Danio rerio: one gene and its partners. The protein of the gene in region 4 interacts with the protein of the main gene of each other region in a pairwise test. Links are inferred from orthologs where the notes say so. Each region holds a gene or a part of one and is shown on either strand. Other genes may lie near its edges.

What was found.
Region 1: the proteins of plekhf2 (region 4) and setbp1 interact in binary tests that used the Homo sapiens proteins (3 or more experiments, as listed by UniProt). The two-hybrid records come from large-scale screens. The link is inferred for Danio rerio from reciprocal best matches to the Homo sapiens genes PLEKHF2 and SETBP1.
Region 2: the proteins of plekhf2 (region 4) and prkar1aa interact in binary tests that used the Homo sapiens proteins (3 or more experiments, as listed by UniProt). The two-hybrid records come from large-scale screens. The link is inferred for Danio rerio from reciprocal best matches to the Homo sapiens genes PLEKHF2 and PRKAR1A.
Region 3: the proteins of plekhf2 (region 4) and ube2z interact in binary tests that used the Homo sapiens proteins (3 or more experiments, as listed by UniProt). The two-hybrid records come from large-scale screens. The link is inferred for Danio rerio from reciprocal best matches to the Homo sapiens genes PLEKHF2 and UBE2Z.
Region 5: the proteins of plekhf2 (region 4) and rabac1 interact in binary tests that used the Homo sapiens proteins (3 or more experiments, as listed by UniProt). The two-hybrid records come from large-scale screens. The link is inferred for Danio rerio from reciprocal best matches to the Homo sapiens genes PLEKHF2 and RABAC1.
Region 6: the proteins of plekhf2 (region 4) and max interact in binary tests that used the Homo sapiens proteins (3 or more experiments, as listed by UniProt). The two-hybrid records come from large-scale screens. The link is inferred for Danio rerio from reciprocal best matches to the Homo sapiens genes PLEKHF2 and MAX.
Region 7: the proteins of plekhf2 (region 4) and mbip interact in binary tests that used the Homo sapiens proteins (3 or more experiments, as listed by UniProt). The two-hybrid records come from large-scale screens. The link is inferred for Danio rerio from reciprocal best matches to the Homo sapiens genes PLEKHF2 and MBIP.

The regions. Positions count from the first base shown.
Region 1 is NC_133180.1:56,228,735-56,232,234, forward strand, and holds part of setbp1 (SET-binding protein), read left to right. Parts: intron 1-2,554; coding exon 2,555-3,500.
Region 2 is NC_133178.1:35,128,392-35,132,643, forward strand, and holds the start of prkar1aa (cAMP-dependent protein kinase type I-alpha regulatory subunit), read right to left. Parts: upstream 2,801-4,252; 5' UTR 2,703-2,800; intron 1-2,702. UniProt on the Homo sapiens protein: Regulatory subunit of the cAMP-dependent protein kinases involved in cAMP signaling in cells.
Region 3 is NC_133178.1:22,323,243-22,326,758, reverse strand, and holds the end of ube2z (ubiquitin-conjugating enzyme E2 Z), read left to right. Parts: intron 1-1,182; coding exon 1,183-1,359; 3' UTR 1,360-3,016; downstream 3,017-3,516. UniProt on the Homo sapiens protein: Catalyzes the covalent attachment of ubiquitin to other proteins. Specific substrate for UBA6, not charged with ubiquitin by UBE1. May be involved in apoptosis regulation.
Region 4 is NC_133191.1:44,847,369-44,849,625, reverse strand, and holds the end of plekhf2 (pleckstrin homology domain-containing family F member 2), read left to right. Parts: intron 1-789; 5' UTR 790-800; coding exon 801-1,544; 3' UTR 1,545-1,757; downstream 1,758-2,257. UniProt on the Homo sapiens protein: May play a role in early endosome fusion upstream of RAB5, hence regulating receptor trafficking and fluid-phase transport. Enhances cellular sensitivity to TNF-induced apoptosis.
Region 5 is NC_133191.1:11,086,695-11,090,879, reverse strand, and holds the start of rabac1 (prenylated Rab acceptor protein 1), read left to right. Parts: upstream 1-1,385; 5' UTR 1,386-1,413; intron 1,414-3,868; 5' UTR 3,869-3,878; coding exon 3,879-3,949; intron 3,950-4,185. UniProt on the Homo sapiens protein: General Rab protein regulator required for vesicle formation from the Golgi complex. May control vesicle docking and fusion by mediating the action of Rab GTPases to the SNARE complexes.
Region 6 is NC_133195.1:31,576,429-31,580,683, reverse strand, and holds the start of max (protein max), read left to right. Parts: upstream 1-1,455; 5' UTR 1,456-1,563; coding exon 1,564-1,599; intron 1,600-1,928; coding exon 1,929-1,955; intron 1,956-4,255. UniProt on the Homo sapiens protein: Transcription regulator. Forms a sequence-specific DNA-binding protein complex with MYC or MAD which recognizes the core sequence 5'-CAC[GA]TG-3'. The MYC:MAX complex is a transcriptional activator, whereas the MAD:MAX complex is a repressor.
Region 7 is NC_133192.1:40,162,938-40,167,016, reverse strand, and holds the start of mbip (MAP3K12-binding inhibitory protein 1), read right to left. Parts: upstream 2,801-4,079; 5' UTR 2,789-2,800; coding exon 2,636-2,788; intron 2,129-2,635; coding exon 2,012-2,128; intron 605-2,011; coding exon 392-604; intron 1-391. UniProt on the Homo sapiens protein: Inhibits the MAP3K12 activity to induce the activation of the JNK/SAPK pathway. Component of the ATAC complex, a complex with histone acetyltransferase activity on histones H3 and H4.

The DNA of each region.
Region 1 (3,500 bases), on a different chromosome or scaffold from region 4:
GTTGAAATGTCACAAGCCGGTTTTGAGCTCTTATTGCCTGACTCAATACAGGTCTCGAAATTGCGACCATTTTGGTCGCATATGCGCCCGAAAATTAATCTATGCGACCTCATAATATATTTGGGCGCATTAGTGCGACTGCAGATAATGGTTGTAGTGCGACCTGTTTTGATTTTTTGTAAAAACGTGCTGAATCGCTCTTCCCTGCGGCTATATTGGTTCATATTAGCTGTCATTCACTCAAGGTATTCCGCTGTCAGATGACAAGGAAGGAGCTTTTATGACCACGGGAAATACAAACAGCTGAAGAGTAAAAACTTAAAGCACACAGGTTTGCAAACCCCACCTAAAGTTGAGGCGCAGATGAAAGCGATCATGACATGTCACGTGGTGAATAATGATCCGCCAGCTGTGATCAATCGAGTACGCGCTTCTTGGAGAAGGTGCCCGAATCTCCATGCGTTGCATTCACTGCGTGTTCAGCGCAAATGTCCGCTAAAAGTCAAATCTAATACTGTACATATCATCGCCAAAGAAGCTCGCCTTTACTAAGTTTACACTGAAACTGTGGCTCATAACAAAGACCGGTATTGCGCCGATGGTTAGCGCAAGAATCCTGCTCTGCCTGCTCATAAATTGGGTCGGCTGACTCGCCAGCTTTTCCACTAACACAGAAAAATGAAGATAATCTCAGACTGAACCTTTAAATTGACACAAACTGAAAGCAAAACTTTTAAAGAGTGATAGAAGTGAGACTTTACTTACTTACTTTTCTTTATTCTTTTTTGAGGTGTATATTATTATTATTTTTTATTTACTGATGACTGCTTTGCAGCTTTCATCATTGAATTGAATGATTTATTATAATCTTTTGTTTGTTTTGTAGCAGAAATATTATTTATTAATTTGACATGCATATAAAAACAGCAGTACAAAATAAATATTTCCTACTGCAATGCTTCATTTTTGTTTGATGCAAACTATACAATTATTTTTCATAAAGTAACAGACTTTTTATAGCAGATAACCTACATTCAAGCACATTCAAGGCAGTATCATAATAAGAAATGGAATTCATTGTTACTATTATTGTCATTTTTTATCATCATTAATATTCTATGGCCTAATTATTAGACATTCATTTTGGAATTATTGCACACAAATATCAATGTCTTCGCAGCATTAGTTAGATAGTTGTTTCTGGTTTTTGTCAGTCCTATTAATGTTGTTTTAAAATACAATAAATCCCTTAAAAAACAATTTGCAGCGGTGCTCATTCATTTTTGGTGGGTGCTCCTAAATTTTTTCTGGTGCTCCTAAAATTTTTTGGTGCTCCTAAATATTTGAAGTTGAGAGCACCGGTGCTACCAAGTAAAAAAGTTTATTTCGAGCCCTGCAATAGGTCGGGCACATGCACTAGTCAACATGCATTACTTCAGGAATGCTTTAGAGACTGAAATTCTTTTTGCACCTTGCTAGTGAGTTTTACAAGGGCAAGTAATATTTTCCATGAAAAAAAAAAATCTTGCTGGGTTTGCTCGTAATAACTTCACTGAAGTGACTAGATTTTACATTAATTAACAGATGCAGTTGTGATGTGTTTTTTCTCTGGTGCATAGTTCAGCTGAGTTCAGCTCACATTCACAATTGTTTAAAAGACAGGCCTTTCATCACTCCAAGATGTCAGCGTTCAAGGGCACTTATATAAACCTTTCTAAACTGTTTTCCCACATTTGTCTTTTCATGCATTTCTTTGGTTTATGTCAGAAGTTGTTTCATTTGCTGTACTCTGATCTAAACAAACCAGACTCCATGAGTCTAAATTATTTTCTGCTGATGTAATCAGACATGTCAGTGCCAAAGTAACATAATATTTTCCAACCTCTTTAAGCTTTAAACATTTAGAGGGTTTTTGTTCAATGATTCTCAGTGTTTTTTTTTTCTTTGTTTTTGTTTTCCATTTATTGCAGTAAAAGTTATAGGTGCAACTTGTTTTTGTTTCTAAAGGTACTATTTGAATTTGGTCTTTTTGGTCTCTTTCCTGTTGTGAGCCTGTTGAAAATGCTGGGACCCCAGATGTAAACTAATCTGAAACCGCAGCATAGACTGTCTTAGCCTCAGCTGCAGAGCTCTGAAATGGAAGTTGACCTGTTGAAAAACAAAACTGTGGTTAAACTTCATTACCGCCTGTAGCTGTTGGCTTTGAAAACAGGATGGCTTTACAGAACATATCCTAGTATCAAGTGCTGATCTTGCAATACGTTATTTCTAACAGACCAAACCACAAGTCTCAAAGGCTTGCACAATGGTGCACAGTATTATATGCTTTCAGTAGGTGTGGCCCACAAACTGAGAACTTGGCAGCAAAACAGGAGTTGTTATCAGTAACAACATGTAGGTTCCTAGTTATAGTTGTTTTTTTGTATGGGGTGTGAATGTTTCTCTGTCAAGCTACCTAGTGTAAGAGAACAAAGAGCTTGTAAAGATTTACAGAATGACCTGGAAATAATATTGTTTCATATTCTAAATTTTATCTTTTGTCTTTTTTTTTTAGACTTACGAAAGGCCCTCTAAACTTCTGGGTAAAACTGAAAATGTGATGATGGAGAACACAAAACCAAAGCAGTCTAAAAGCAACGACATTCTCCACCTTGACTGGACAAAGAAGTTGGATACTGTTGGAGAAGTAGGATCCCAAGAGCAAAACAGAACAGAACCAGAAACAAAAAAAGAATCAGCATGCACCAACAAGGGTCCTTTGCCAGAGCCCAGCACCCCCTTCTTGAAAACACAAGTCAAAAAAGTCGCAGACGGTTTATCTGGAAGTCACTTTGGATCTGCCATGTCCTCACCAAGCACTGACTTACTTGCAGCATCTTCAGTCAATACAGTAATGAGTCCCTCAACTGACTCAAGTCTGTTCTCTTTTAACAAAGACAGAGGTTTGCAGCAAGTCACTGAGCAAGTTTTTGGGAACATCAAACGTAAATATGGTAGAAAAGACCCCACCAAAACTCCAGTCATGCATAATTTAGACCTTCAGTGGGTCAAAAAAATGGACAGAGATACTGAAAACCAAGATAGTGCTAAGGAGAAACAACCGTATAGCCAAGATAAATGTGCATTTGAAGAGGAGCCTGAGAAGCCAATCAATAGGCTGGATGATGATAATAAGACAACAACAGGCTGTGGCACTCATTACACAGAGGAATCAAGGAGTAAAAAGCGAAGAAATCGAAAAGTTACTGAAGATAGCATGGTATCTAATGCACAAACGGTACAGCAAGATGAGAAGACTGATAACACTGACCAAGGGTGCACAAAACTTAAAGTGACAAAGAAAACCGATGTCAATGCACCAAAACAATTTGGTTTTAATTTACAGCAGAGCCAGGAAGACATTGCTGGGACAGTGACTGATGATGCTGAGATGTTTCAGAACAGACCAAGGAAAACCCCAGCAGGAAGAGCGAGATCCATGATTGATGTTGACAAGCAAA
Region 2 (4,252 bases), on a different chromosome or scaffold from region 4:
TTCACAGTCACACATGTTCTTTGAATGGAGGAAAGAAAATAAATGCCTTTGATGCAATAAGTTTTTATTTCACTGTAAATTCTAATATATCATTTAATTTTACATTAACGGTTTCTGAGTAACTAATTACTCATTAAAGGTTTTGGGCTCCATTTATGTGCAGCTGGAAGGAAGTGGTTAAAGGGTGTTCTCGCCAAGCCATCAAACTAACTTCACACAGAACATTGTTCTTGAGTGAAACATTATTTTCAGATTTTAACTGTAGATTTTAAAAATAAATATAATTTTTCTCTGGACTGGCACATATAAACTATCCACCACACGAATAATAATGTGCTTTATTAAAGTAAACATGATGAGTTTTCATTGCATAAAGAATTTAAATACAGAATTACTCAATATAACAATTGTTTTTGTACTGCTGAGACTTTCAGAGAAAACAGTTCAAGACACTAATAAAATCAGGCATCTGGAGTCAGCAGCTTCATTGGCAGCGCTCCAACCCAAGTCATGGCTCAGGGAACTTTCGTAATCCTGCACCCCCTTTCTCCCACTTCATTTCCTGTCCACTGTCCATATATAAATATTGTGTCGTATATCAAGCATACGGGAATAAATTTGGATTTTTGTGGCATCTTTTAAAACACTTACTATACATACATCTTTTGTCATTATCATGTCTTTACTTTGATATAACAGTCATATTAACATATCCATAGGGGAATCCTATTTTCTATTCTCCTACCCTTACACAAACCTTTCTGCAATTTTATCAAACATTTATTATCATTTTTAGTGATTAAGATCCACCTTTTCCAGAATGTGCCTACTGTGTTTTTAAAAATATGGGTGGTATTACTAGTTTTGGCCTTAAACTTTCATCATTTCAAATAATGAAGTTGAATTTCAGATTCATATCTGTAATAAAACTTGAATGAGAGGTATTTATTCTGTTGCACTTCATATTTAACTCTCATGAAAATAAATCAAATTAATACACTTGGTATTTTAACAAAACGTTACTCAAACAACGTCACAATAATATCTATGGCACGAGCTCTTTTCAGTTTGATGCTTTTGCTTCTCCAGATTATTAATTTTCTCTTTATTTTCTCATGTAAATAAAACATTACTGCAGAAAAACTTGTCTCATGACTTGCTGAAAGCAATTTGCTAATTATACTAACTTTCCTTTTAATAGTCAGTGGTTGAACTCAAATATTTCTGTTAGGATAATTAAATTTTAATTTTCAGTGTGAAGTTCTCATTTAAATTTTTTCTAGAGATCTGCCATTGTGGTATATCAGAGCAGTTACTTACATTGAAAGTTTGCATCCATTTTTTTAATCAGTCCTTATTGAGTTTAGTTTTATACATTTGTTTGTTGTAGGCATGGGACAATAACTGTTTTCAAGGTATACCGTAGTTGGAAAAGTCATTTTTTTTTACCTGTCAAATGTTTTTGCTATACCATTCCTGCGGTATATGCAAGATTTCTTTAATAATTTTTTTTGTTTGTTTTTTAGGACAGCAGTATCTCCAACAGAAAAGATACCCAAAAGTGGTGTTTCAAATGGTCCAGAAGTTTGTGTTTTTGAAACTAATAAAACAGCAGAAGTCTACGATTTATTTATAATATTTATCCTGACATGTTCACTGCTCCAAAATACTTAAAATGTTTCTCAAAATAAAATGTGTTCAAAGAGGGGAAAAAAAAAGTTTTTGTTTTTGAAACTGTGATGTTTTCATCTAAGGGTATAATAGTGTCAGAATCTTACACCGGCCCATGTCTACTGACTGTACAGCACTTTAGTACATGTGTAGCTGTAAAGTGCTTACAAGATCAAATAAACGAGAAGGATATGGATTGCAAATATTTATGAGAAATTGTAACTTTTTAACATCTAATGAATTTCTACCTGCACAGAGAAGTTAAATGTGTAAATTAAGAAGATTAAAAAAATGTGTGAAAAAAGAAGAAAAACTAAATGTGTAAAACATTCAAAGTTTTCTGTATAGATATGCATCTTTCTGGTCTTTTTATTTATATTTCAAAATGTCTTTCATGACAGTGGAAGTCCTCTGGATTAAACCCCACGTGAAACATCCAGGTCATAACCAAATCTATCATAAATCCATGCTAGCAGATAGTGATGTTGCTGTTAATACTAAATGTTACAAGCTTCCAAACGTGTTGTCAAACTGAAACAAACTAACATAAATCTTACATCGCATATCTAGTCTAAAATCTCTACTTTAACTTACAATGACACCACACAAAAGCGATATATACTGAACTTTCATCTAACTGTTGATTTTTGACAGCCATGCTATGGCTCCTGGTTCCTGTCGGGGCCCCTGAGCTCATAAAATTCGCAGTTCGCATCCCCACAGGCATTTCTCAACATTACGCCATTCGGTCATGCGAAAACAACCATTTTGGTCCAGAAAACATATTCCAATATAACTAGACTTCATTGAGTCAATGTTAAAGTGTTGATCGGCGTAATCCTGCAGCTTCTTCCAGCTCTGTGTTTTTTGTAACCAGTTTTGTCAAGCAGCAAAATACGCCATCTTGCAAACTACATTATCACAACAACGGAAGCCGATGGCATTAAATTAACGTCTCTACGAGCTTGTCAGCTCGCGTATCGACATCATCAAACGTTACAGTAAAAGCCGCTGTATTTAAATATTCATACCTGAGTCGCTTCGAGGAGTTTGTCGACGTGCTTTACTCCGTTTACACTGATTTTCTCACAGTCCTTGGATGGATGGACGCCTCACCGGAAAAGGTTATGACCAATCACAAACAACGATTGACGTCAATGCGCCTCGATCTGGGAAGCCGGTTTCCCCTGACAACCTTAAAGGGCAAGGGCTTGTTTTTGTATTTAGAGAGGAGATCGAGGTTATCAACCAGAAAACTCAGAACATTCGGCCGCACATGACGTGAGGGTATAAATCACATTTTACGCTCCTCCGGGAGTGACATTCAAATACAGAAGGACAGTATTCCTTACCCACGTGTTTAGCACTGAGAATGAATCTGGTGACAGCTGAAAAGGTTAATGGCTCTGTACATAAACCCAAGCCTAAATTGTGCCAATTCAAGCAGGGTCACAACACTGCGAAGATATGACCCCCCCTTAAAATTAATGTCTGATTGACTGTTATTACAGTACACCCTTAATAATCTAGATTTAAGTTTTCTTTTCCTTCAGCTGAATTGACATCCTGCAAAATATTTTCATTTCCTGAACTTATGCTATGAATCAGGCCATGCAAAATGTGTCAGGGTGAAACCAGGTCCTGTTTTAGTGTCTAGGTTAAGTTTACAAAACAGATTTACAATCATACAAATGTACAATATTATAAAACAGTTGGCGATACCCATTGAATCTATAAGTATTAGTGATATAGTAATTGTGTTTTGCATATATAACTTCTATAATAGTCTGTGTGTGTTCAGCAGATGTAAGATGCTCATAAACGCTTTACCCTCTTGAGATTGAGTAAATGGTTAATAAATGTATTTCTTTTTTGGAACTGTGCAACTTTAAAGGGCACCTATTTTACCACTTTTTCAAGATTTAAGATGAGTCTTTTGTTTCTCCAGAATGTGTCTGTAAAGTTTCAGCTCAAAACAACCATCAGATTATTTATTATACCTTTCTGGATATTTTCTGCTCTGGACAAACTGTAGCTGTTTTTGTTGCCTGTGCCTTTAATGCTAGTTCTCCCCGCCCACCATTCCCAAACTTGTCAGAGTGTGCCACAATCTCAGCTGAGTCAGATAAACAGCACAGTGACAGACAAGAAGGAAGCAGATCTCACGTAATGTTTGTGAGAAATACTACAGTAAGAACTTTACTGATGCTTATTTTTTATGTATTTGTTGTGGAGTTTATTTAAGCCTTTCGATGAGTCACACAGAGTTTTATTACAAAGTGTACACACGCACACACACACACACACACACACACACACACACACACACACACACACACACACACACACACACACACACACACACACACACACAGCACTCGTGTTGAATTTTGCACTGATTTTGCAATGCGAATGTGAGAGGATACATGTTATTATCCACTGCTATATCGATATCTGTAATGTTAATGTACAAAATAAACCTGATTTAACGTCCACAAACCGAGATTGAAGCTTCTTTTATAATTGTACTGACATGCGGCTGTGGTTACAAGTAAAGATGGTAAAATTGCTGTAATTTCTT
Region 3 (3,516 bases), on a different chromosome or scaffold from region 4:
TATGCAATATTCTAGAAATCACAAATTTCATATGAGAATGTTTACTTTGGTGGAAAGGGCTTTTCTTTTTGACCTTCATCTGAACAACTTGCTGTTAGAGGGTTTTAGGCTGTAAAGCAATGGTCTCAAACTCAATTTCTAGGTGGGCCGCAGCTCTGCATAGTTCAGGTCCAACCAGCTCAAATTCACACCTGCTTAATAGTCTCTTGTAGGCTGTCTCTCAATATGTGTTTTTCAGTATTCTTGCATCCTCGTGTTCTTGTTTAATGTCATCATTAAACGTCAAAGTTCAGTTCCAAAACTCAAGACCGCAAGAACAGAGGACACGTGAAAGTTCCGGGATGTGTTCTTGATCTCGAGGATGCATTGATGCAGACCTAAGCGCAAAACTCGCCAAAAGTCCCAAAAGTTTTTGTTGCTGAATAAGGAGTTGGGAAGCAAAAACACAGTAAGGGTGTTTATTTGCTGAAATTCATATTAAAATCAGTTATATTTGTATTATGCGTATTGTGTTTGTGTGTCTGAGTGTGTGTGTGTGTGTGTGTGTGTGTGTGTGTGTGTGTGTGTGTGTGTGTGTGTGTGTGTGTGTGTGTGTGTGTGTGTGTGTGTGTGTGTGTGTGTGTGTGTGTGTGTGTGTATAAATATATATTTATTGAAAGGGGGAAAACAATAAATTATTGTGTATATATGCTGTAATGTTGAAAATATGTTGAAATAATTTCCTTCAGAAAGAGCGCATCATTTCTCACAGGACACGTTCTGTGTTTTCGCGGTCTCCCGAGTTTGTACTTTCGAAGTGACCTGGCAAGAACAGACGTTACAAGAACGCAAGTCTGTCCAGTTTGAGACCTTTGATCTGATAAAGAGACCATATTAGTCCTATTTAATAACTTCAAATAGCGTTAAGCAAGCAGTGAATGTGAAATGTATCAGATCTACTGTACAAATTGTGTATTCTGTGCTAAAACCCTATCCCTAAACATAACCTTTACAGAATATATCAGAAAACAGTTTACTATTTGAGCTCTCTGGAAGTTTTCTTTATTTTTGTTGTTTTGCTTTTTTTTTTTTTTTTTTTTTGCTGTTTTGTAATGCTTTTTATGTTTGCACTTAGTTTAATACCCTAAATGTCTTTTTCGTCTTCCTTATCAAGTTGAAATGTTTTTGTTGTATTTCTCCCAGGATCCTTTTGGGGAGAAGCGAGGTCGCTTTGACTACCAGGGTTTGTTGACTCGTCTCAGAGCCATCCAGAGGCGATTGCGGGAAAAGTGCCCACCAGAGGACAACGACGGCGACTCTGACTCTGACACCAGCTCTTCCGGCACCGATCCAGACAGTCAGGGCAGCTCACAGCCTTAGAGAGACGGCAAGGTTAGATAGTTTCCCTTTACCTGAGCTCTGGACACCTCTCAAGCGAGCACAGATGCAAGCAGAGCTGAAACAACCAGGAGATCTTGCTCATGGCGAACAGAGTTTCAGCCTCTTTCAAATGAGTATCGTTTTTCTTCTTGCTCCTTGTGTGCTGGCGAGTGACTGCATTTGTTTTGCTGTTTTTCTTCCTAATGAAGAAAAGGTTCAGTCAGTATGGGGAATGAGGGCCTTGCATATAGATGTATGTGTGCGTGTGTACATTTGTAAGTGACAAAATAATACTCCAACTCTTCAGCAGGTCAAAACAGCCTCTACAATTTCAGTCCATGTTAATCTGTCTTTTCCTGCATCCAGTGTAGAGCTAAACTGATAAAAAAAATAATAATAATAAATAAGTCAAATACTTAATGATAATAAAATCACTCTTACAATTTTTTTTTTTTTTGGCAAATACACACATTTCCCTCTTAGCTTGTGTGTTTCCTGGTCTTTTTGTTCCACAGTAAAACAAAAACTTCATATATTCTTAATCATTTAAAAATAAATATGGTTGTGAATTAAGATAGACATGCAACCCATTATGAATATCACACTTTAAGAGCAAGACAACGGATGCAACTTTAAAAAAAATGTACATATAATTGTTCATAGAGAAGCTTTATTTTAATGTTTAATGTTCTTAAATGCTATTGAACTGGTGGAAGTATCAGCAGCCTGCCAAGCACTTATGAAAAAGGTTGCCTTTTGAGTGTTGTCTACTCGTTGGAAATACCGTTTTGTTTGTTGATCTTAAGTCTGTCTCTAATCGTAAAGCTGTTGAGTGTCAATAAAAACACCTGTTCAGTTATTGTTCAGGGAATAATCCTGAATTTGCAACTTGACAAACATACTTTAAATGTGTTTTTTTTTTTCCCTCACTCTCAGACAGCAATTTCTCTCCAGCCTTTGCTCAGAGTGTCCCTTGATACTGCTACAAATGTCTCTCTACCGGGGATACTGTGGTCACTGGTGTTCTCATATGCAACAGGATGAAGCTGCCTGATACAGAAATGGAACAATATTCATTTATGGGTTTTAACTATATATGCTCTAATTAGTTTTCATGGGAGTGCACCTATTTTGCAACAGTCTATTGCAATATATCCCTTTAAGTAGCAGGTACAGTATATCATTTACCACAGCATGCTAAACGCAACCAAACTGTATACATGTACATTTATACAATTTATTCTCAGAAAATCAGCTTACATATAGTGCTCTATTGAGTGAACCATATGAGACGCAACCATACAACCACAACTCCCTTAAAAAAGGTTTGTCAAATGGGCCCAAGTTAACTTGTGAGGTTTTTGCATGTGCTAAAATATGGATGCATTTGAGAGAGATTTTAATCTGGTCTAAGATATTATATTTTGGTGAGACAGCTAAGTAAGATTTCCTGATTGTTTATTTTGAATGAACAATTTGACAGTTTCTTTTCTAGGATGACCCGCAACAAGAAACAGTTCCCTAACTATTTAAGTTTGACTTTGTGATGTACTAATGCTTTTTCCCTTGTTAGCAAAATGAGAATGGATTATGTAAATTATTAATGTATCAATCAATTGCAACTGTAAGGAAAAATATAAAAAATTGTTTCTGATTACAAGTGTTTCTTTATTATCTAATCTTTATCCTCAACCTATTTTAATCACTCAAAATAGTAGTATTAGAAATGGATATGAAATCATTAAGAGATAAGAGAGAAAACTTCTATACCTCTATGAATAGGTTCAGTAACTTCACTTGAAAGGCAAGTAAATGCCCTGTTTACTTGAGATTAGAGTAAAATAACTGTTCTTGAGCAAGAGCCTTATTAAAAAAAAAAAAAAAGATGATTGTATAGGGAGGGAAATATTGGATTGAAAGATGTTTGCATGTGAAGTCTTTAATATGCTTATATTTCACATATGCTGTTGCAATAAGGCAGATTAGATTGATAGATGTTTGTATGTGAAGTTAGTAGTTTCATATTTAAAACATGATATTGCAGTAATAATGCTTTGTTCAGTTTCAATGTTTTGTAATAATACACTCTGGAGTACATTTGGAAAAAAATATTCATATATATACTTTGAACTTAATAAAAGAATCCTGAAAAATGTC
Region 4 (2,257 bases):
TATATATATATATATATATACACGTATATATGTATATATACATATATACGTATATATACATATATATATATATATATATATATATATATATATATATATATATATATGTATATACATATATATATATATACATATCATATATATAATTAAAAATGCCAGTTAAAGGGTTATTTGACAGGACAGTAGGTTGACAGAAAGTGAAAAGGAAGAGAGAAGGATTTAAGATTGGGAAAAGTCCACAGGCTGGGATTTGAACTTGGGATGACTGGAGCGTTTCCGCTCCAAATGTCAGCGCACTAACCACTAGGCTATTTCGCTGACTGCATGTTGTTTTTGTATGTAATTATTAACCAATTTTTTTTTCTTCTATAGGTTATGAATAAAATATGTTAATTCTAATCGTTTAATAAAATGACCGACCCCCATTTTGGGAACCACTGGCTTGGGTATCTGTGTCTAAAGACCATTTCAGTGTGGTCATGCCATAATGCCATTGGGTCATGAACATTTCCTGCTTGTGATCAAACTATTTCAAAACTGTAACGAGAAAATTCAATCATAACTTAATGTAAAAACATCTAACATGACATTATTTATCAATTTGTGGCTCTTTTTGGATTCTCTGAAGCTATAGATATTACGAATGGAAAACAGGAAACTCGTTGTGACCATTGTTTTTGTTTACATTGCTCAAAATGGTCTAGGGAGAATGCAAAGGTAACTTGAGCCATTGTAATCATCTTCATTCCTGCTCCCATCATGACCCCTTTTTCTCTCTTTTATTCCTAGGTGTCTGAAAGATGGTGGACCGCTTGGCGAACAGTGAGGCCAACTCTAAACGCATCGGGGTGGTGGAGGCATGCTTCGGCACAGCAGGCCAACCGCTGGCCATCCCAGGTCGAGTTCTGATCGGAGAGGGCGTTCTCACAAAGCTGTGCCGCAAAAGACCCAAAGCTCGGCAGTTCTTCCTCTTCAACGACATCCTGGTGTACGGCAACATCGTCATCCAGAAGAAGAAGTACAATAAGCAGCACATCATCCCTTTGGAGAGCGTCACCATAGACACGGTCGAGGACGAGGGCGAATTGCGCAACGGCTGGCTCATTAAAACGCCCACCAAATCCTTTGCTGTTTACGCCGCAACCGCAACGGAGAAGTCCGAGTGGATGAGCCACATCAACAAATGCGTTTCGGACTTGCTTGAAAAAAGCGGGAAATCTCCTACCGGCGAGCACGCCGCAGTCTGGGTGCCCGATTCAGAGGCAACCGTGTGCATGCGCTGCCAGAAGATGAAGTTCACCCCTGTCAACCGGCGCCATCACTGCCGGAAGTGTGGCTTCGTCGTATGTGGCCCGTGCTCAGAGAAAAAGTTCCTTCTCCCCAGCCAGTCCTCCAAACCAGTGCGCGTGTGCGAGTTCTGTTACAAGCAGCTCTCGACGGGTGCTACTCTCCCGCCCCGATCAGACTCCTACAGCCGGCAGGGCTCCGACTTCGGCAGCAACAACATCTCAGATGACGACGATGACGACGACAGCAGTGACTGAGAGTCTCTTTTAGGAAACACTGACAATATACAGATCCCAATATTTTAGTCTCTCATTCAAGGTTTGCAAAGGTTCCTCTGGCAATAACAGTTTCCCTAAATAATTAAAAGCCCTGTGCAAATGAACAAAAGGTTTGATGGGAATTGATCCTCATGAACACTACTTGTCGGCTCGCTACACTTCCACATTAAAGTCCCTCTCAGTCCAATTTAAGTCCTTTCATGTAGATGCATTTCTTGGCAATGGTGCTCTTTCATCTTCTTTTGCTAGCATTTTCTTACTGCTACTACGCCGGAGAAGCGAATGTTGCATAATGTGATTACAGGCTGTTCTTGAGCATACCCTCCCTCAGGTGAAACAGTGTAGTGCATTAAGTTTTAAACGACGAGCTGCGTTTAATTCTTTGAACAACTAACCACTAACAAACCATGATAGTATGTGTTTTCTCATGTTCTAGTAATTGCTAATGACAAATCAGATAGATGCTACTAAGCTTGTAAATGTGTATATGATGCCGTGGAGCAGGAAGCCTGTTGCATAATTCATCTGACAAGGTCGTCGCTGCCTCAGTGCCTTCTTATTTATCCTCAGGAAGTAGATCCTGGAAAGGAGAACAGTTTGACTTGGGCTGATTCCTTTACTTTGAGACGTCTGCGTTTAACAGCGCACCTCATATACTGCTTAGAGGCACACAGGTACCATTTAATGACTGT
Region 5 (4,185 bases), about 34 Mb from region 4:
CTGTGCCTACACTACCTGACAAAAGTATTGTCGTCGATCCCTGCTGTAAGAGCAACAAATAGTAACTTGACTTCTAGTTGATCATTTGGAAAAGTGGCAGAAGGTAAATTTTTTGATTAATCATGTTGAACTGCATCACACATACTGCTGACCTATTGGAACCCTCATGGACCCAAGATTCTCACAGAAATCAGTCAAGTTTGGTGAAGGAAAAAATATGATTTGTGTTTACATTTATTCAACATCAACAGCCTGAGATATCAAGACATTTGCTGCCCTTTTCATTACATATCACAGGAGAGGGCAAATTCTTCAGCCGGATCACGCTCCTTCTCATACTTCAGCCTCCACATCAAAGTTCCTGCAAGCAAAGGTCAAAGTGCTCCAGTATTGGCCAGCCCAATCACCAGACATAAAAGTTATTGAGCATGTCTGGGGTAAGATGGAGGCGAAGGCATTGAAGATGAATTCAAAGAATCTTGATGAACTCTGGGAGTCCTGCAGGAACACTGTTTTTGCCATTCCAGATGACTTTATTAATAAGTGATTTGAGTCATTGCAGAGATGTGTGGATGCAGCCCTCCAAGCTCATGGGAGTCATACACAATATTAATTATTTTTCCATTGCACCATGACTTTATATTCTATACTGTACATTATTTCTGTTAAGTCTTTTGTTTTAGCAAAGTCAGGCCTTACTATCCTCATTAAATAATAAAAAATCAAGGCATAATCATATTTTATTTTGGTAAAAGAAGCGTACACTAGAGGCCTTTGCCTTTCAGCCACTGATACCAAATCATCAACTAAGTCAAGTTATTTGTTGTTCCTAAAACTTGGATAGGCCACAAGGTTTTTGGCAGTGTGTACTGGAAAAGAACAGAAATCCAATTCCTGAAATTAATAGCATTTAGCTAGAAAAAAAGTATTTATTGACATCACATATTTATAATGCTGCAAATGAATGTCAACTATACAATGTTCATTACTAGGTATGTCTGTTCTTGAATATTAAAATATATTATATATTATCAAGGGCTGATTTAGTGATTTTGGGGCCATAAACAATTCCAGCCAAGGGGCCCAAAAGTTCTAGAATGCATCTTTTGTACTTGAATTTTTAAAAATTATTTTCATATTTTTTTAGTTTTGCTGTTTTTTTCTTATATCATTAAACCTCATTTTCTATATTTTATCTTAATGCAAAATAATAGTTATAACATGTAAAGGACATTGTATCCATTTAAAAAAAATTTAGGTGCATGCCCTGTATGCTGATCCGTGTCACTAGGAGGCAGTCGCAAGTTTGACTCGTGTTAACTTATGTCAACAGAAGAAGATCGTCACCGCTGTTTGCGAACCACATCATATCCGCTGCACATCAACACAGTCAACACATCTACACAAAGTGCTGTGAGTATGATTGTTACTTTAAGGTTTACTCCCCTTTTAAAGCACAATTCTAGAAATATTTCGTCTCACTGTCTGTCGATTTCTCTATGTTACTAACGTTACCGATTGATCTCAAAGTTAAGGGGTATCGATATATATTTTGAGAAAGAGCGCTTGCTGCTGTCTGTAACGGATTTGATAAACAAACTTTATGGATTATGTTTTGTGACATACCAAAAAAAGAAAACGTTGTTTATTGTCTGACTGTAATAATTTATTTTTTGAGGCACATCTGACGTAATGTAGCAGCTTAACAAACTTGCTCTACCGGATTGTTTCTCTTCTTGAACGCAGAGTTTCAGTTGCAGCCCATGAGTGACATCATTTTTCCAGTAACGTCATTGAACACGTTCATAACTTACCATAACATAGAAAGCGAGCTTCATAGATTAAGTGAAGACATACAGAGGAAGTTTAGAAAGTTGCTTTCTGTGAAGGAGATCAAATTCATTGTTTTCCTATCAAGTGTAAAAGTCTTAGTATCCCTTGACTAAAGTTATGTGCATGTTCTTGTACTTATAACGTTAGAGGTAAAGTTGGTTTTATATTCGCACATTTAGAAGTCCCTATATTGTTTACCATGTTACTTTGAATATTCGATCGGAATTAGCCTGCAAGTATGACTTCTAAATAACATTAATTCTATCTAATTGATTGTGAACAATGTTGTACTTTGATAATCATTTGGTGCTTATATGATTTTCCTATTCGGAATTTGCAAAGAATACTTTTCTGAAATTATATTGTTAAGGAGAATGTCTGAATATCCGAATATAACTTTTCCTTTATCTTATACTTCACTTTGAAGAACCTTTCATCTATAGTTTGCTATTCATTAATCCAGCCTTTTGAAAGGGTTTTTTCTTAATAGGTAGATCTTTTTGCTGTTGTTCGCCTCATTTTCTGTTTAGTTATGAGATTTCAATGCTGAATTTAGATGAAATTTTAAGCACTTTTTACCTGACTTTATTGAATCAATTATCTTGTTGGATGGTCATCATAACCACACTTTTTGATGTACCAAAACATTTCCTAAATATTTATAATAAAGAAATAAATATGGCAAATATGTGTTTTTAAAACAGAAATATATTGCATCATTTATCATGCATCAACGTTTTAAATTAGAAACTGTAGCCTAGTGTAATTTATTAAGCAAATAACTGACTGGCCAGCACATTCAACTTTCCTCAGTCAGAATGTGGCCATTTAAATAATAATAAAAAACTAAAACATAATAATAATAATAATAACAACAACAACAGTTAAGAGCTTCACAGTTTTTCTAGCCTCTTGTATAAGTACTTTACACTTTATTGGTTATTTTTTGTTTCAAGAAAAGTGATTGATAATAAAAGTTACTTGTCAAATCTTTTCCCAATTTGAAAACAATAAAGTAGTGAAAGATGACTTTGCTTATGTCAGGTGTTTTCTTGCACAGCTGGATGTTGGACTCTTGAAAAATAATTGTTTGTATTGGCCAAAACTGATTAACTGAAGTCACACCAGGATTACGCTTGGTCTTAATGCCTTTTTCGATGGGTTATTTTCACTATTTATGATGGCATAGCAGTCAAAAAAGAACAAATGAGCTCATGTATTGGACAAATTCTGGACCTTTGTCAGTGTGGGTGGGTGGGTCTTCCGAAAACCCCTGGCTACGGGCCTGGTGAGTGTTTTTTTTAAGTGGATAAAAGGATTAGTTCACACAAAAATAAAACTTCTGTTATTAATTACTCACCTTCACGTCCTTTTAATTCCTGCATGAAATCTAAGTTTCCTCATCATCCTTTTATGGTCCAGACACATTTATAGTCCAGAAAAGGAACTAAACACATTGTCAAAACATTCCATGTGACTTCAGTGGGTCAACTATAATCATATGAAGCTCCAAGAACACTTTTGTGTGTCAAAAACGTATCAGATCAGGACATGCGTTTATTATGAACTCTGATTACCTGAAGCGGAAGAGAGGACAAATAGTGGTACTTAATCACATAATTTAAATTTTTGGGTGAACTAACCTTTTGAAGTTTTATATGAAAGGCCATGGTCCTTTGTTATTCATACAATGCAAGTCAACAGTTACCTGCACTTATAGAGTCAAACATAAATATACAGGCAAAACATATTTAACTTCTGTGACACCTGAAAACACATTGAGGTCTAATAAAGGGAAACTATAGGTCTGTGCAAAAAGCTGAGCAATATTAACAGTAACTTATTATTGCATCTTACCCAATGATCCCACTTTCTTCTTTTGACAACCACAATGTCCTTTACATCTCAATCAACCCACATAGTATAAATGTACCAGTGGCTCTCAACTCTGTTGGAAATTAAATCAACATATGAATATATTTAAATCAAAATAGTAATACATTCTTGTTGATTAAGATATGTGTTTTATTATTAGACACGTCGAGATGGATGCAAAAGTAAGTGACCCCTTTAGCAGCGAGGCAGAGCAGCTTCCAGGAGCAGGAATTGTGGGAAGGTGAGTCTGTCACCAGAAATACTACAATCTGTAAAAGCCCAAAACTCCAGAAATTGTTTATTGTTTAACTCTTATTGAGAGTCACATTAGATAAAAGACACTGCTAAATGATTAATTTCTTTAAAAAAATTATTTTAATTGTAACTTTCTTTGTTGTTGTTTATATATATATATATATATATATATATATATATATATATATATATATATATATATATTTATATGTATGTAAGTAT
Region 6 (4,255 bases), on a different chromosome or scaffold from region 4:
TCTGTTCCCAGAGATGGGTTGCAGCAAGAAGCGCATCCGCTGCATAAAACATATGCTGGATAAGTTGGCAGTTCATTCCGCTGTGGCGTCCGAAGGAAATTAATGTCTAAGCCGAAAGGAAAATGAATATGTATGAATGAATGAATGAATGAATTTCATATTCCTTTATTATAAATTTTAAGGAAATACTTTTGGTGTATCAAAAAGTGTTTATGATCCATCCGACAAGCGAATCCAGCTAAAAATAGTGCTAAACATAATAATTAAATAGAAAATAAGGCGATAACTGCAAAAAGGTCCACATTTTGAGAAAAAAACAACCACCTCTTTCATCAGGCTGCTATGGGCCTGCTATTAAAGAATCAGGATCAGTTTTATTTTGAAATGCATTATATAGTTTTCTATGTTATAGTTTTCTTCTGAAATGATCTGCTGTATTTGATCTAGATAATTGATTAAAATTACAAAACTAAATACTTTTCCCTTATAATTTAAAGTTGAAACAACTGTCTATATAAAGATTTATTTTTGCCCGATCACAGTCATAACAACAGCAGTTGTTTGTTAAAGGGTTTTAAATTATTAATATTAAAGTATTTTCAGTAATCTCTGATCACACTATTGATAACAGTATAAAGTAGGCCCACTACTAATGAATCAAAATTGTGTTTTCTAAGACACAGCTTTATACTGTTATGAATAACACCATTATTAGAGAATCAGGATCAGTTCTGTTTTAAAATGAGATATGTTACATTAAATTTGTCATGACAACAAGTTTTCCTCTGAAATATTTTGTAGCTACAGAATTATTATTATGCTTTAATACAGCTGTGATAAAACCACCACATCCATAATAATCAAAATAGCCAAAACAACATTGTTTTTATTCTCCGGGTTTTTTTTATATAATTGTTATTAATAAAGTATTAGCAGAAACTGACATCCAAACCGTGCTGTTTTTGTTTGTTTATTTCTGTCATTTTAAACTGTCATCAAGTTCACATTTAAAGTAGGTCGTTAGAGTAACCATGTTTCTGTGTTTTTATAGCTCTGATAAGAGTACTAAAACAAGAATATTACCAATGGTCTAAATATTTTTATAGTTTGCAATTACTCACAAATATGCACAGTATTAGTGACCCACGTATTAGTCACAAACAACGCTGAGCAATCTCCACGTGTCTTGCTGGTTCCGAGACATGTAAATGAACTACAATTACCACCTCCCATTGCCACCATAAGGGCTTTCCTTCAACCCCATGTAGAGACTCCGCCCAGAAAAGCTGTCTGGGTGTTGTAGTCCTACACAATAGTTCCGTGGTTACATCCACCGACTGCGTAACTTAAACAAACGACAAGTCCCACGATGCTCTGCGGCGCAATCACAGACGTGACACGCCACGGTAAATGTCCGTGTGTAGGCGAGTCACGTGTGGGGAGTCCGTTGATCTCGTTTCGTGTAAGCAGTGAATCTCTCCTGTTTGTTCATTTGATTTGGGCCCCGTTTCATGTTGTTTTCAAAACAACATTTCGTGTAGATTTATCTATCTTCGCCGAAGAATGAGCGACAACGATGATATCGAGGTCGACAGTGATGTGAGTATAGTTATTTTTGTTTGTACTCTGCATGTTTGAAAATGAAACCTCTTGTATTTTCGATACTTGAGCCTCAATACGGGGCTAGCCTGCTAGCTAGTTAGCCAGCCAACCTAGCGTTTGAAATAATTTCCCAGCCAGTTTATTGAGAATATCCAGCCAGATAAGCGATTAAACACGGGGGTCGAGTCTATACTCGTCTCCGTATGTGTACATTTGCGATTATGTGTAAGTTACTAAAACAGTGTATTGCATCCATCAAATAGCCAGTTAAGTATCACTCTTACAGCTGTAGCTACAATTGTACTTTCTGTTCTGTTTTCTTACAGGAAGATTCACCGAGATTTCACGGTGTGGTGCGTAATAAGCGGAGCAATTAATCCAGTTTAGCCTTTAATGCTGAAAATATCTTCTCTTTTTGAGATTAGCTACCATATATTTCCGGGTAGGTACTGAACGCCGACTGATTTGCATCGGTGGAAGACAAAACAATATAGGATGATGCCTTAAAAGGGGGCATGGATGTGTTGGATTCGATGAGCACCGGGGTCTGCTTGTTTTGGGTGGTTCGGGGAGCTCTGTGCTCGACAGCAGGGCACTTGCTGCAGGAGGGAGGGAGGGACGTTGGCTGAGCGAGAGCCGCAGCCACACTGCGAGTGCGCGACGCGATAGCCCAAAAGCTCGCGTCGCAGAAAGCCAGCAGCGAGATCTCTGTATCCGAGCATTCTGCTGTGTCGTGACGCTCGCAGTGTGTGTGTGGCGCAGTAGTTAGACGATGGAAATATACGACGGCAGGGTTATCATTTGAAATCTATGGCTTTAACATCAATGGTGTCTTGTTTTTGTTAGATCAGACCGTATATGAATAAATAAGCAACATTAAATATTAATACTGAACCTATGGAACATCCCCCTTGCCGATTTCCAAAGACATTTTGTACATTGTTTATACTAAATTGTCAATGTACGGATAAATTATTTTAAAATGATAGTAATACACATATCTTTGTTATATTAAAAAAAGGGTTTAATGGGGATTCTGTGACTCTTATTTTTCTAAATTAGAGAAATCTTAAATTCGTAATGGCATTGGCATTAATGTTGAATGTGCTTAAACATGTAATATCTAAACAAGCAAAAATGAATACATTTAATTTACTTTTGCAATAAATTGAACAAGTCAGGTTATGCTTAAAACAACAACAACAAATATCTGTCAACAGGGAACGAAAATTGATGAGTTGATTTTTTGAGCTCAATAAGCTCAAATGTTTGCTGTTTTAATCATAAGCTCACTTCATTTTGATCCATTTCAGGAATTTATATCATGTCATTTTGTTTCTTAAGTAAATATCTTAGTTTAAAGATCTTTCCATATTTTATCTGCAAAACAAGACGACAATACTGAGGATAAACTAAACTTTTAACAGTGTGATGAGAACATATATTTTCTGGTTAGTGGAAATCTAGTTATACTATTTGTTTTGTAAAATGATTAAGTTGTATTTTCAAATTGTGTTCACTGTCAATTTAGAGAAAATGTTGAGTTGACTTATGTGACCCTGCTACACTAACCCAGTCTTATGTTGCATGTCAATATCATTATATGGGTACATGATAAATGTACATTATCAATATTTATTTTATGCTACAATTCATTACAATATTGAGTTATTTAGTAAATATACCATAAGCAAAACTAAATTTTTGATAAGTACTGTGCGTTAAACTTGAAACTCAGCTTTTTTTTTAACCCCCAGATTACAGATGTTTAAATTGCTGTATGTTGGGCAAGTATTGTCACGGACACCTCATTAGTTCAGCTTTCAGATAATGCACGAATCTTAATTCCCAAAAACGGAGACATGTCACTGGTTTTGTGCTACAGGGTCACATATTGTCTTTTTATAATTAGATTTTTTATTTAGTCAAAGTATTAAAATGACCTTCATAAACCTGCAGAAAGATTGTGGTAAAAGTTTGGAACAAATGGAGTTCACGATGCAGTATTAATTCTTTTAATGGGTTTTTAATTACAAAAATTTCCAGTCTGATCAGTGACTTTTGAGAGAAGTTGGTTTGTCATGCTTTCCTTACATTACTCATGCATTTGCAATAGCCTTTAAAAAACAACACAAACAACAGCAAAGAAAACTAGGAACATTTCTTATGATATCTTATAATCCAGATACAAATTAAGTGCAATAATCTTTAGATTTTGTAATTAAAATTAAAGAGAAGCATTTGGTGTAGAACCTTGTCGTTTCCTATCCAAAAAAACTGATAATTGCAAATTTTAAATGAGCTTGACAGATGAAACTGTCTCTGAAATACTGGGCACAGCATAAAATGGTGTGTTAAATTGAGCAATTTGACCATCAAAAGGTCATAGGTCTTTTGTTTTGTATTTATTTTTACAATACATCAGCGTTGCTTTCAGGAAATTAGATTTAGGTTTCATTTTCTGGAATAGTACCACAGTCAGTTTTCTACTAAAATGTTTATGTTCTGTCAGTGTGGTGAGAAATCGAGCCCCGCCCCTGCAATCGAGTTTGCATAGGACCCTAATGGATCGTCTACGTTGAATGCCTGATGAAAAGTACTTTCTATAAACTATTCTCAGTCTTGAGATTTTAACAAGACTAATCATATTAGT
Region 7 (4,079 bases), on a different chromosome or scaffold from region 4:
CATGGGGAGCAGAGAGAAAGAGGAAGGGTCGGCATTGGACCTCAAGGTGGAAATCGAACTCAGGTCGCCGTGATCACCGCCGTGAGTGCATTTGTTGATGCACTAACCACTACGTCATCGGTGCCAAACATATTTCGAATAGGAATCATTTGATGACATATAAAAACACTACATAACGGATGCTCCAAAAAAAAATAATAATAATAATAATAATAAAAAATTGTCATTAATTGTCATTTTTAATCTTTATATTTTGCAACTATCCTTCAAAACCACTACGTTTTACCCCAATTTGTAAATATTCATATGATCACTTACTTGTTTAAATATTCCAATAAATACAACTGTGATTTGTGTAAAATATGCCTACATTTTGAAGTGATAAATTTACCTCTGATTTAGCAGCCTTGATCTGCACGTTATCATCGATTTGAGTCCTGTTTCGATCCTCAAGGGCAGCACAGTGGTCAGATGTAAGAGGATCATCAGTAAACATCTGCTCAGATGTATGTGCAGTTTCTTTCCTTTCACCGATGTCTGGGTTGGAACTTGTACAGTTATTTGCCTCAGACTCCACTATCTGCTTCAAACTCTCAGAGACCGACTAGAAGCAGAAGGTTAATAAAAAAAAAACAATGTGGTAAAAGACAGTCTTACAGTGTCTTTATAATGATAAACTGTGTCTTAGCAAGGAGTCAGAAGATAATGTGCAGTAATGCTGGTCATATACATTTAAAAAAAAAAAAAACGCTGATAAGCTAATCAGAGAACCATCTTGAAGGACAAAGGATTCATTTTGCCCTGTCAGTTTTTGTTTTGCAAAAAACACTGAACATATTTACATTTTAAGAACATTATTCAGGAAACAACATTATTCCACTTGCATAATATGAATTTAATAGTGCAGGGCAACGATTAATCGTAGTAAACCGTGACCAAAATATAAATACGTTGTAACATAATATATATGTGTGTGTGTAGTATGCATATTTAAAACACACATATACATAAAACTTAATTTTACAATAAAAAATATTATATATATTTTATATGTAAATGTAAATAAACATTTTCTCAAAAAAATTTAATAAATAGCATATTTATATATATATATATTTATATATATATATATATATATATATATATATATATATATATATATATATATATATACACACACACACACACACACACACACACACACACGCGAACACAAACACACACACACACTTACATACATACATGCATACACACAAACACACACACACACACACACACACAAGCTTTGAATTTGGATGTGATTAATTATAAATAAACATGAGTCAGTACTATGTATTTTATATATTTTAATGATCAACTAAAAGAGTGCACTTACTTTCTATCCCTCAAAGCCTTAATTTCATAAAATAAAAACATTGCAGCAAAAGCTTGTTTCCACCAAAGAAAAAACAAATAAGTAAGGATAACTGTGACTTTTCTTCAACGCATTGTGATTTGATACTTGCAACTGAAAATGATGAACATTATCTCGTAATTCTGACTATTTTCAGTATTGTTACTCTGCATCTCAGGGTTTCAAATGGTTTTGACTTCGTTTATAATAATTTATATCTTGTAATTTAAACGTTTTATCAAAAATGTGAGATACAAATGAAGATTTGTGGGCAATAAAGTCCCTATTCTAACATAAAAAGTCAAAATGCAAGATAAAATATTAAATAGCATTATAAAATTCTGACTTTTCCACCAATAATATATCATGTTTCCTTCTGGCAATACTGATGATATTCTCTGAATTACAATTGTGACATAATGGGTTTAATTTTTTATTCCATTGTGGAAACAAATGTTCACCAATTCTCTGGATAAGGTTCATTACAGATAAGTAAACAAATAAATGGCAAACAAAATTCACTTACAAGATCTATTTAAAGGTTCAGAAGATATCTTTATACTTAAAAAATCAGCTATGTGTGTTAGTAAATGTTATAATGCACATGACTCTGTTTACCTGTAGTTTGGAGATGTGCTGTTGTAAACAGGAGTGCACATGAGATGGCTGAAGCTCACAGATGTTCACATTGTTGACATTGGCACTGATTTTCAATGCGTTATCATCTATTTTTAACTGGAAAATAAGACAGTTTTTTGTTGTTGTTGTGGTTTCTAAATTGTCAATGCAGAAAAGATGCCTAAAACAGACTAGGTGGTTTATTTCGCTGGTCAATATGGTTTGTTAAATGAGTAGTAAGATTTTAGGCACTTGTCAGCTGGGGAGGCAGGGAGTAAAACCAGCTAAAAATTGAATAAAAATCCAGAAAAGAAACATATGAGACCATTATAAAAACTCCAGGACAGGCTGATTATTTCAGCAGTGACAGTGGAAATATTGCATATTACAACTTATTGCAGACAAGTACAGACAAATTATCTAAGTGATTGAAACAAATCATATTAGCGCGGACAAATCATATAATTTTACGACATGGGTGATCTTGTTACTTCGGAAAAGTTCCATAATTTAACGTTACATATTTAGCTTTTGGCATCTCAAATGAAATAACGTTACAAATATGACTGTTAAGAGCTCTATCCCAAACAGTGACACCGTGGCAGAATTTGCTTTTAAACAAACCTTTACTCCAAGCTCAGCGAGGGAGTCGACAATAGAGGCAACGCAGTCTCTGAAAGCATCCCTTTGTCTTGCATGAAGTGAAATCTGGCTTCTGCTTTGCTCTTGTTTACTTGCAGCACACGCACCGCGTCTTTCGCCGTCCGCCGCCATCATTCTTCCGCTCCCGGCTGCTGCGCTGATTGGACCAACGGTCTCCTGCATAACATGACCTCACTTCCGCTAGCAAAATAACGAGCATTTAAAATTGACTACTGCAAATATAAACGAAGGTAAATTACTTTATTTCGATAGTTTAAATATTGACATTGACCGTGTTTAATGTTTATTATTTTGTCCGTCACAAAACAATCTTCTGTTTCACCCTTTTGTGTTTTTAAATCGCATTTAACATTACAATTTATCAATATGACTAAAATGAAACGGGTTTTTATGTATATGCCAAGGGTAATGCATTTACCTGATCATTTCATGTCATTCTTTAAAAAGCTATTTAAAAATACACACACCCAGACAAACAAATAGGGTTCAAAAGGTTGTGTAACGTTAAAGGTAAAGGCCTGTAAATAAAAAATGTATGCCTAAATGATATTGGAAAAAACTGACATTGCAATATTTTCATTCACTGTGATATATATTGCGATATAAATGCAATTTCACCAGATGAATAGCTTGCTAAAATTGAGTTATTGTGTAGTGGAGCATATCTGCATAAAATATAATTTTAAAGGGCACCTATGATGAAAATAATATTTTCTAATCTGTTTGGACAGAACTGTGTATAGGTATAGTGTGTGTCCACAGTCATATTAAGGTGATATAAAGACAATAGGTCTCTTTTTAAAAAATTTCTTAATGTTAAAATAGGATTTAAATCCCTCCTATTTTGAGGCCCACCGCATCGTGACATAGGAGGGCGGTTTCCCTGTCCACCGAATTGATTGACAGCCGCGTACTAACATGTATTAGTAGTAATACGCATAATCATATCAACAAGGCACAAAGTGTGCAAAGCAACTGGGATTAAAAGATCTGTTCAGCTTTCTGTGATCATCAGTCATCATCAAATGTGATCGAGAGTGAGTTTTACAAGTTTAAAAAGTTTTTAAAACAGTGCATGTTTGTAATGAATTACAGAGATTATGCCGTCTTTATCACCACAACAGCATGTCAGTACAATAATATAAAAGACTCCTCAATCCTGGTTTGTGGACATTAATTCAGGCAGTGTATATTAAATGTGCATTAGGGGATCAGCCTAAATGATAACCGGCTAGCATAATATTTTTTAAATTCAATCTCTCCACTGCTGGCCAAAACCACGCCTCCTGTTATCACAAACACGCACATTAAAGATGACAGAGACCCACTAGATCATGTCATTCACCAGTTAGAAAAGTTTATAGTACTTTATAATACTAAAATTCCCAATGAAAAACTGCTTTAT